3 linked regions of the Callithrix jacchus genome follow. The protein of the gene in region 1 interacts with the protein of each later gene in a pairwise test. Links are inferred from orthologs where the notes say so. Each region holds a gene or a part of one and is shown in the gene's direction. Other genes may lie near its edges. The genes, in order: L3MBTL2, MEAF6 and ZFY.

Region 1 (3,651 bases):
TAATTTAAGACTCTTTGCAGCTGAATCTTATTTCCTTTCTATTCATCTTGTCTTTTTTTTTTTTTTTTTTTTTTGAGACAGAGTTTTGCTCTTGTTACCCAGGCTGGAGTGCAATGGCGTGATCTCGGCTCACCACAACCTCCGCCTCCTGGGTTCAGGCAATTCTCCTGCCTCAGCCTCCTGAGTAGCTGGGACTATAGGCATGTGCCACCATGCCCAGCTAATTTTTTTGTATTTTTAGCAGAGACACAGTTTCACCATGTTGACCAGGATGGTCTCGATCTCTTGACCTCGTGATTCCACCCACCTCGGCCTCCCAAAGTGCTGGGATTACAGGTGTGAGCCACCATGCCCAGCTCTCATCTTGTCTTTTTGTCTCTTGCCTTTTATTTTTCCCCCTTCTATCTTCTTCCAAACCTTCTCTTAGAATCTTAGGATTTAGAACTAGAAGGAACCATTAGAGACCACTTAGACCAGGGCTTCTGCATATTAGAATCGTTGGGGGAGCTTTTAACAAACTACAGATGCCAGTATCCCATCACAGACCAATTCATTAATATCTTAGGCTCAGGCTTTTTTTTTTTTTTTTTGAGATGGAGTTTTGCTCTTGTTGCCCAGGCTGGAGTGCAATGGTGCAATCTTGGCTCACTGCAACCTCTGCCTCCCAGGTTTAAGGGATTCTCCTGCCTCAGCCTCCTAAGTAGCTGAAATTACAGGTGCCCACCACCATGCCCAGCTAATTTTTTGTATTTTTAGTAGAGACAGGGTTCATCATGTTGGCCAGGCTGGTCTAAAACTCCTGACCTCAGGTAATCCACCCACCTTGCCTCCCAAAGTGCTGGGGTTACAGGTATGAGCCACTGCCCCCGGCCAGCTGGGGCATTTTTAGAAGCTCCCAGGGTGGGTCTAATAGTGAAGTCAGGATTAAAACACTGATCTAGTTCAGTCTCCTTACTATATAGATGAGAAAATAGAGCCAGAGAGGTTAAGTGACTTTGGCACTTTTTCTTCCTATAAATTTTTTGAGACTGTTTTAACTGTGTTGCCCAGGCTAGAGGTACAGTTGTGCGATCCTCAGTCACTACAGCCTCAGCCTCCTGGGTTCAAGCACCTCCTGCTTTAACCTCCCAAGTAGCCGGGACAACAGGCGTGTGCCATCACACCTTGCCCTTTTTTTTTTTGCAACAAGATCTTGCTAGGTTGCCCATGATGGTCTCGAATTCCTGCCCTTAAGCAACCTTCCCTCCTTGGTCTCCCAGAGTGCTGGGATTACAGACAGCAGCTACCACACCTGGCTATCTCACTTTCCTCTCACAAACTTTTCAGCACTCACCTGTACCCCGAGTCATCCTCAGGGGTTCCCATTAGCCTCTCTGTTGACATACGTAGTCGAGGGAGGCCAAGCAGCAGCACTTTGTTCAGGTGGATTCAGATGTACCCACCAGTACCTCCCATTCCTCCGCTTATTCCATTAGCCTTTGTTGGTGCAGGGGTTCACCCGGTGAACACAGTGCCCCATATTTTGAAGGGCCCATCATTTTGTTTGCTTTGAGGTGGCTGTAGCAGCTGAGTCATGTGCTAAGTTCTCTTCCCAGCTGTCTGTGAGATGTGTGGTATCGTGGGTACACGGGAAGCCTTCTTCTCCAAGACCAAGAGGTTCTGCAGCGTCTCCTGCTCCAGGAGCTACTCCTCCAACTCCAAGAAAGCCAGTATCTTGGCCAGATTACAGGTGAGAGGCAGCTACTTTGGTCCTCCCCAGAACCCTCGGTGCTGAGACAGGAGCCACCAATTGACTGGAGGCAAGGGCCAGGAAGGTTTGAAAAGCATCTTGCTTATGGCCCTCTGGTATTTATTATGTTCTCAAACTTCAGAGGATAGAATAATTCATTTATAGAGCTTGTTAATTTATAGATTCCTGAAGCTACCCTACATTCCCTACCTTCATCCCCCAGAGTCTGGGGTACTCAGTACGTTTTAAACAAGAACCCTGGGGAGTAGGACACCCTTGGTCTTCACCCCACACTTGTATAAATCCTTTGAAAGAAAGCTGGGAAGCAGACCCAAGGTTCACCGGCCATGGTGACTTCAGGAAGACCATGCCTCATGTGACTCCGTGTCACAGGCAGCTACCTAGAAAGTCTTGCCAATTTTTGAGACATGGAAAGATTATTGAATGTGGTGTTGAACCCACACATTTATTGATAAGTATACTGAAGTCCAAGGAGGTAGAATGACATACCTGGTGTGGCTCTGTAGGAAGAGAGTGGCAGAACTGAGGCTGGAACCCAACTTCAGGGGCCTGGTCTTATGTTGTTTCCCAGTAGCTGTGATCAGCATCTGCAACACTGCTTCCCAAATTAGCCTGCATGTTGGGATCACCTGGAAAGTTTTAATTAAAAAATACTGATGCTTCGGTCCTACTCCTCAAGGTTCTGATTTAATTGGGATGGAGTGTAGCCTGGACAGAGAGATTAAAGAGCGCCACAGGTGATCTTCCTGTGCCGCAAACCTTGAGAACCACCAACGTTTATTGGAAATTGCTGTGCGCAAGATCGTTCTGCTTCCTGCTTCATACACTGTATTGCCTTTGTGAGACAATTATCATTGTTTCCCCCATTTTGTAGATTTTAGTCAAGACACAGAAAGATCCCTCTCCTCAAAGAGCTAATAATAATATTGGTAATATTAATAGCTACAGTTTGGGAGTACTTTAAAGGGCTTGACATTCTCAGTCAAATCAATGACCCTGAAAAAATTGATTTTTAGAAAAATTCCTTTTTTTTTGAGACAGAGTCTCACATTGTCACCTGGGCTGGAGTACAGTGGCACAATCTTGGCTCACTGCAACCTCCGCCTCCCAGGGTCAAGTGATTCCCCTGCCTCCGCCTCCCAAGTGGCTGGGATTATAGGTGCCCACCAAAACACCCAGATAATTTTTAGTAGAGACAGCGTTTCATTATGTTGGCCAGGTTGGTCTCAAACTCCTGACCTTGTGATCGGCCCACCTCAGGCTCCCAAAATGCGGGGATTACAGGCATGAGCCACTGCACCCAGCCAAAAAATTCCTTTTTTTTTTTTTGAGATGGAGTCTTGCTCTGTCACCCAGGCTGGAGTGCAGTGGCCTCGGCTCACTGCAACCTCCACCTCCTGGATTCAAGCGATTCTCTTGCCTCAGCCTCCGGAGTATCTGGGACTACAGGCGGGTGCCACACATGCCCAGCCAATTTTTGTATTTTTAGTAGAGACGGGGTTTCACCATATTGGTCAGGCTGGTCTCGAACTCCTGACTTTGTGACCCACCTGCCTTGGCCTCCCAAATTGCTGGGATTACAGGCTTGAGCCACCATGCCTGGCCCAAAAAATTCCTTTTTAAAGGCTCAGAAATTTTAGTAACTCGGCCGGGCGCAGTCGAGAAATCCTGTCTCTACTAAAAATACAAAAATTAGCTGGGCATGGTGGTGCGTGCCTGTAGTCCCAGCTACTCGGGAGGCTGAGGAAGGAGAATTGCTTGAACCCAGAAGGTGGAGGTTGCGGTGAGCTGAGATTGTGCCATTGCACTCCAGTCTGGGTAACAACAGTGAAACTCTGTCTCAAAAAAAAAAAAAAGAAATTTTAGTAACTCACTTAAAGGTAAACAACTGAAAATTTTAG
Region 2 (3,651 bases), on another chromosome or scaffold:
TGGCTCACCACAACCTCTGCCTCCTGGGTTCAGGCAATTCTCCTGCCTCTGCCTCCTGAGTAGCTGGGATTACAGGCACATGCCACCATGCCCAGGTAATTTTTTTGTATTTTTAGTAGAGACGGGGTTTTACCTTGTTGACCAGGATGGTCTCGATCTCTTGACCTCGTGATCCACCCGCCTCGGCCTCCCAAAGTGCTGGGATTACAGGCCTGAGCCACCGCGCCCGGCCTTGTTTGTCATTTTGACATGACCCTATTACTCTTTGAGCATTCCATTGCTTTCTGGCCCAAAAGATGTCCCATATTTACCTTGTGCATTTTCTGTCCAAGACCTGGTATCAGCCATTCCTCTTGGGAACCCTGGTTCTTTCTTTAAATTTGAGAATTAAGTTTATTTAAGAGACACTTCATATCACTAATCTGTTCTGGACTTTTAAAATAATAAACATTAAAATAAATACATTTGGGCTGGGCACAGTGGCTCATGCCTAGAATCGCAGGCTGAGGTGGGCAGATCACCTGAGATCAGGAGTTCAAGACTAGCCTGGCCAAGAAGGCAAAACCCCATCTCTACTAAAAATACAAAAATTGGCTGGGTGTGGTGGCTCATGCCACCTTTAATCCTAGCACTTTGGGATGCCAAGGTGGGTGGATCACTTGAGATTGGGAGTTCGAGACCAGCCTGACCAATGTGGAAGAACGCTGTCTCTACTAAAAATATAAAATTAGCTGTTTGTGGTGGCACATGCCTATAATCCCAACTCTCAGGAGACTGAGGCAGGAGAATCGCTTGAACCCAGGAAGTGGAGGTTGTGGTGAGCCGAGATCACGCCATTGCCTGGGCAACAAGATTGAAACTTCGTCTCAAAGAAAAAAAAAAATTAACCAGGCATGGTGGGGTGCACCTATAGTTCCAGCTACTCTAATAGAGGCTGAGGCAGGAGAATTACTTGAACCCAGAAAGTGGAGGTTGCAGTGACCTGAAATTGCACCACTGTACTCCAGCCTGAGAGACAGAGTGAGACTCTGTTTCAAAAAGAAAAAAAAAATAAGGCCAGGTGCAATGGCTCATTCCTGTAATCCAAGCACTTTGAGAAGGCCAAGGTGAGTGGATTATAAGGTGAGCAGTTCAAGACCAGCCTGACCAACATGGTGAAACCTGTCTCTACTAGAGATAAAAAAATTAGCCGGGTGTGGTGGCATGCACCTATAATCCCAGCTACTTGGGAGGCTGAGGCAGGAGAATTGCTTGAACCCGGGAGGTGGAGGTTGCAGTGAGCCGAGATTTTGTCACTGCACTCCAGCCTGGGTGACAGGGTGAGATTGTCTCAAAAACAAAAAAAAAAAGGCTGGTTATGGTAGCTCATGCTTGTAATCCCAGCGTTTTAGGAGACCGAGGTAAGTGGATCACCTGATGTTAGGAGTTTGAGACCAGCCTGGCCAGCATGGCAAAACCCTGTCTCTACTAAAAATACAAAAATTAACTGGGCATGGTGGCGGAGATTGCAGTGAGCCGAGATTGTGCCACTGTACTCCAGCCTGGGTGACAGGGCATGGTGGCAGGCACCTGTAATCCCAGCTACTTGAGAGGCTGAGGCAGGAGAATCACTTGAACTTGAGATGCAGAGATTGCAGTGAGCCGAGATTACGCCATTGCACTCCAGCCTGGATGACAGAGCAAGACTTTATCATACATACATACATAAAATGAACATGTGAAGCAACTAAATCTCATGTCCCACAGTGGGGCATATACCATATATTGGAAACATTGCTTTCTGTGTTCAGTGTAAAGGTCATTTGGGCCATTTTAAGTGATTTGGAGGCTTCCTGTATGGAACATGGGTCCTGGGGCATTCCTAGCTTGAGCCATAGACATAGCTTGGTGCTCATAATGAGATTCTTCTGTGTGTTTTAGAAACTCCAATAGCAAAAATGATCGAAGGAACCGGAAGTTTAAGGAAGCTGAGCGACTCTTCAGCAAATCCTCAGTTACCTCAGCAGCTGTAAGTGGTGGCGGTGGGGGAATCTTTCTGTGGGCTGTTGTTGGGGAATGTGAGTTTTCTCCTTCCTTTCCTCTGGGAATGCTCTTCTGAGGTCTGTGGTCACTTTCCTAGTAACTGGTGGCTTTTCTTTTAGGCAGTAAGTGCATTGGCAGGAGTTCAGGACCCGCTCATTGAAAAGAGTAAGTTTATGTTTTTATGTTTCTCATCAGTTTATTTTTAAGCTACCATAGCCCTTATATTTAATTCATACGGTTGTGTATCTGAGGACTGCATTTCTTATGCTCTTCCCTCTTCTTCCTAGAAGTTATTAAACTTTTAGGGTATCCTTAATCATGTTTTCTCCACTTCCCCACTTCAGACAAGATCTTACTCTGTAGCCCAAGCTCTGGAGTACAGTAGCATGATCATAGCTCACTGCAGCCTCAAACTCCTAGGCTCAAGCAGTCCTCCTGCCTCAGCCTCCTAGGTAGCTAGGACCACAGGCATCTGCCACCACACCTGGCTAATTTTTAAATATTTTAAAGAGACAAGGTCTCACTATGTTGCCCAGGCTAGTCTGGAATTCCTGGCATTAAATAATCCTCGCACTTAAGCCTCCCTAAGTGTTGGGATTACAGGCGTGAGCCACCATGTGTGACAAATCATATTTTTTCCTTTTGAGGAAGAAATTATGCAGCCTTTCTTGCCTCTTCTGTCACATGAAGATTGGCTTTTACATCTCAAAGACAGAAAGATATATTGTCATTCCTGATAAATCTTACGACTTCTTAGGGAATTAAAACAATAAGTTTTATGGACAATTTCAAATATATCTTAAAAATCCTCAAGTACCCATGTACCCAGTTTAATAATTCTTAGAAAATGCTCATCTTGGCCCGATGCAGTGGCTCACGCCTGTAATCCCAACACTTTGAAATGCAGAGGTGGGAGGATCGCTTGAGCCCAGAAGTTCAAGACCAGCCTAGGCGACCAAGCCAGACCCTGTCTCTACAAAAAGTTAAGAAATTAACCAGGCTTGGTGGCATGTGCCTGTAGTCCCAGCTATTACAGAAACTGAGATGAGAGGATCGCTTTAGCCCAGGAAGTTGAGGCTGCAGTGAGCCATGATCATGTCACTGATCCAGCCTGGGTGACAAAGTGAGACCATGTCAAAAAAAAAGAAAAGAAATGGTCATCCTGTAAACAGGATGTACCTGTCGGTTCTTAAATATAAAATGGAAAATGGAGAGACAGTACCACTTACTTTGTAAATTAATTCTGTCTTAATGTTTTTTTGCATGTAAGCCATACAATCTGATTTCCAGTGATGGATTATAAATTTGTGCATTTATCTTTCTGAGTCAGACTCAGTGTAGCTGTATTGGATGTTCTCTGTGTATTTCATCACCTTGAAATACAGCCTGTGCTCGGTATTACTGTGTACTTCTTTTCAGATGGTATATCTTGTTGTTGGATCTAGTTCTTTTGTTTGCATTGTGGCAGTGATATGAGGAAAGGGATTTTAGTCGTTTGGAAATTAGAAGTACTTAATCATTATCTCCATGTACAGATTTCTAAATCTGTGGCTCTGCCCTCTGCCTTTTTCCTGGCTTTAATCCTACATTTCCTTTTTTTTTTGAGATGGAGTCTCACTCTGTTGTCCA
Region 3 (3,651 bases), on another chromosome or scaffold:
GGCTCTCTTTTGGTTCCATATAAAGTTTAAGGTGGTTTTTTCCGGGTCTGTGAAAAATGTCATTGGTAGCTTGATGGGGATAACGTTGAATCTGTAAATTACTTTGGGCAGTATGGCCATTTTCATGATATTGATTGTTCCTAACCATGAACATGGAATGTTTCTCCATCTGTTTGTGTTCTCTCTTATTTAGTTGAGCAGTGGTTTGTAGTTCTCCTTGAAGTTGTATTCCTTGTTAGTTGTATTCCGAGGTATTTTATCCTCTTTGTAGCAATTGTGAATGGCAGTTTATTCTTGATTTGGTTCTAAGTCTGTTATTGGTTTATAGGAATGCTTGTGATTTTTTGCACATTGATTTTGTAACCTGAGACTTCGCTGAAGTGCTTACCAGTTTCAGGAGATTTTGGGCTGAGACGATACTATCATGTTGTCTGCAAATAGAGACAATTTGGCTTCCTCCTTTCCTATTTGAATACCCTTTATTTCTTTGTCTTGCCTGATTGTTCTGGCTAATGTACAGATATGTTACATAGATATACATATGCTATGGTGGTTTGCTGCACCTGTGAACCAATCATTCAGGTTTTTGGTTTTTTTGTGGGTTTTTGTTTTGTTTTGTTTTTTCTTTTGATATGAAGTCTTGCTGTGTCGCCCAGGCTGGAGTGCAGTGGCACAATCTCGACTCACTACAACCTCCACCTCCCAGGTTCAAGTGATTCTCCTGCCTCAACCTCCTGAGTTTTAGCTGGGACTACAGGCATGTGCCACCATGGCTGGCAATGTTTTGTATTTTTAGTAGAGTTGGGCTTTCACCCTGGTAGTACAGTCTCCATCTCCTGAGTTTGTGATCTGCCCACCTCTGCCTCCCAAAGTGTTGGGATTTATAGGCATGAGCCATTGCGCTTGGCCCATCATCTAGGATTTAAGCCCCACGTCCATTAGGTATTTGTCCTAACGTTCTCCCTTGTTTCTCTCCCCACCCCCAACAGGTCCCAGTGTGTGATGTTCCCCTCCCTGTGTTCATGTGTTCTCATTGTTTGACACCCACCTATGAGTGAGAATCTGCAGTTTGGTTTTCTCGTTCTCTGTTAGTTTGCTGAAGATGATGGTTTCCAGCTTCATACTTGTCTCTGCAAAGGACATGAACCCATTCTGTTTTATGGCTTCATAGTATTCCATGGTATATATGTGCCAGCATATGGCTTTTTTGTGGGGAGATGGTTTAATGTTTCTACAAGTTGGGTTTTGTTGTTGTTGTTTGTTTTTTTAGATGGAGTCTCACTCTGTTGCCAGGCTGGATGGCAATGGCACAATGTCAGCTTCCTGCAACCTCTGCTTCCAGTTTAAGTGATTATACTGCCTCAGCCTCCTGAGTAGCTAGGATTACAAGCGTGCAGCACCATGTGCAGATAATTTTTGTATTTTTAGTAGGGATGGCATTTCACTATGTTGGCCAGGCTGGTCTCGAACTCCTGACCTCAGGTGATCCACCAGCCTTGGCCTCCCTAAGAGCTGGGATTATAGACATGAGCCACCATGTCCTGACCAAGTTGTTGTTGTTGTTTAATGCAACCAGTATTTGAAAAAAGTAAGCAGCAGCACTGTTATGGACGATACTGTGTTGCCATATTCCAAGGAAAGATATGTATGTTTTGATTGTTGCTTTATAAACAAATTGTAGTGAAAGCCAAGAAACAGATGACTATCTCAACCAGTATCTATTTTTTCCTACTAATGCATTTTTTTCTGTGTGATCTCTGTAAACCCAGTCACAAATATTTTAAATTTATTTTCTGCTTAGACGTTGCTGAAATTGCTGATGAAGTTTATATGGAAGTGATTGTAGGAGAAGAGGATGCTCCTGCTACTGTAGCAGCAGCTGCTATGCATGAACAGCAAATTGATGAGGACGAAATGAAAACCTTTGTGCCAATTGCATGGGCAGCAGCTTATGGTAAGTTACATAGTAGCTAGAAGGATTGAATGTTTTTGAACATTAATTAACTGTTGAAAATGGTTTCTGTGTCTTAGAGTTTCAGGATTTGAGCAAATGTAGAGAAAGATTACATAGTCTCCCTGTTGCCTTTAATTTTAATATGAACTTTTTTCGTGACTTTATTATGTAAGAAGCCAGGAGCTTTTTTTTTTTTTTTTTTTTTTTTTTTGAGAAGGAGTTTCGCTCTTGTTACCCAGGCTGGAGTGCAATGGTGCGATCTCGGCTCACGGCAACCTCAGCCTCCTGGGTTCAGGCAATTCTCCTGCCTCAGCCTCCCGAGTAGCTGGGATTACAGGCATGTGCCACCGTGCCCAGCTAATTTTTTGTATTTTTAGTAGAGACGGGGTTTCACCATGTTGACCAGGATGGTCTCCATCTCTTGACCTCGTGATCCACCCGCCTCAGCCTCCCAAAGTGCTGGGATTACAGGCTTGAGAAGTCAGGAGCTTTCAATCTCACATTTTAAATCTTGGTTTATATGTGACTCATAACTTTACAATTTTGGGAGATAAGAAGGGAGTCCCATAGAGCAACATCCTGCTTGATACAGAAGCTAGGTACTAACCATGGTCTTGCCATAAATATTTCCATAAAACCCATTATCTAAAATTGCAGGCCGAGTGTATTGGCTCAGGCCTGTAAACCCAGCACTTTGGCAGTCTGAGGCAGGTGCATCACCCGAGGTCAGGAGTTTAAGATCAGCCTGGCCAACATGGCAAAACCCCCTCACTACTAAAAACAAAACAAAAAAAAAATGAGCTGGGCATGGTGCTGTGGTCCTGTAATCTCAGCTGTTCAGGATGCCGAGGCAGGAGATTGCTTGAAACCAAGATGGGGACGTTGCAGTAAGCCAAGTGTGTACCACTGTACTCCAGCCTGGGTAAGAGAGCAAGACTCTTATCTCAAAAAAATAAATGAATAAAAATAAAAAATAAAATAAAATAGGGAATTTCTGTCATTCATGTCAGGATTTCTCATTGTTAATAAATAATTCCAAATCTTTAGAATTTATAATGCTGTGTAATTTTGTGTTTTAATGCACATTGTTAGGTAATAATTCTGATGGAATTGAAAACCGGAATGGCAGTGCAAGTGCTGTCTTGCATGTAGATGAGTCTGTTGGCCTCAGCAGACTGACTAAACAAAAACCAAAGAAAAAGAGAAGATCTGATGCCAGGCAGTACCAAACAGGTGAGGGTTCATGAGTTCCATGGTGCAGTGTGCTCTGAGAGCCGTCAGAAGAAACTATAGTATTATGTATCCACAGGGGTGTTTTAATGACCGAACTTTAAGCTGCTAGGCCACATGTATTTTTGTGTATTTTATTTGAAAAAAGAATTTCAGAATTCTTCAATATTCAAGAATGATTTCCTTGGATAAAAAGAAACTGGTGTGCATCAAACATTCAGGAAAAAGAATTAAAATCCTCTGGTGATTTTAGTGGAAAGGAAAATACATTTTTAAAATGTTAGCTAATTTTAAGTGAACAAAATTACATGGATCAACTGATGGCAGCATCAAACAGGCATAATTTACAGTGCAGCAGGATAAGTTACTTAGGTTATTTATAGGACAGATTATTTTTCTGTGTTGTTTTGCGTCTTTGCATATTAAAATTTATTTATAGGCATAGTTAAGCCTATAACTATTAGTTA

What was found.
Region 2: the proteins of L3MBTL2 (region 1) and MEAF6 interact in binary tests that used the Homo sapiens proteins (3 or more experiments, as listed by UniProt). The two-hybrid records come from large-scale screens. The link is inferred for Callithrix jacchus from reciprocal best matches to the Homo sapiens genes L3MBTL2 and MEAF6.
Region 3: the proteins of L3MBTL2 (region 1) and ZFY interact in binary tests that used the Homo sapiens proteins (3 or more experiments, as listed by UniProt). The two-hybrid records come from large-scale screens. The link is inferred for Callithrix jacchus from reciprocal best matches to the Homo sapiens genes L3MBTL2 and ZFY.

Annotation. Positions count from the first base shown.
Region 1 is NC_133502.1:192,016,886-192,020,536, forward strand, and holds part of L3MBTL2 (lethal(3)malignant brain tumor-like protein 2), read left to right. Parts: intron 1-241; exon of another isoform or gene 242-336; intron 337-1,595; coding exon 1,596-1,729; intron 1,730-3,651. UniProt on the Homo sapiens protein: Putative Polycomb group (PcG) protein. PcG proteins maintain the transcriptionally repressive state of genes, probably via a modification of chromatin, rendering it heritably changed in its expressibility.
Region 2 is NC_133508.1:74,062,533-74,066,183, reverse strand, and holds part of MEAF6 (chromatin modification-related protein MEAF6), read left to right. Parts: intron 1-1,920; coding exon 1,921-2,008; intron 2,009-2,141; coding exon 2,142-2,187; intron 2,188-3,651.
Region 3 is NC_133525.1:4,094,501-4,098,151, reverse strand, and holds part of ZFY (zinc finger Y-chromosomal protein), read left to right. Parts: intron 1-1,801; coding exon 1,802-1,954; intron 1,955-3,046; coding exon 3,047-3,187; intron 3,188-3,651. UniProt on the Homo sapiens protein: Probable transcriptional activator. Binds to the consensus sequence 5'-AGGCCY-3'.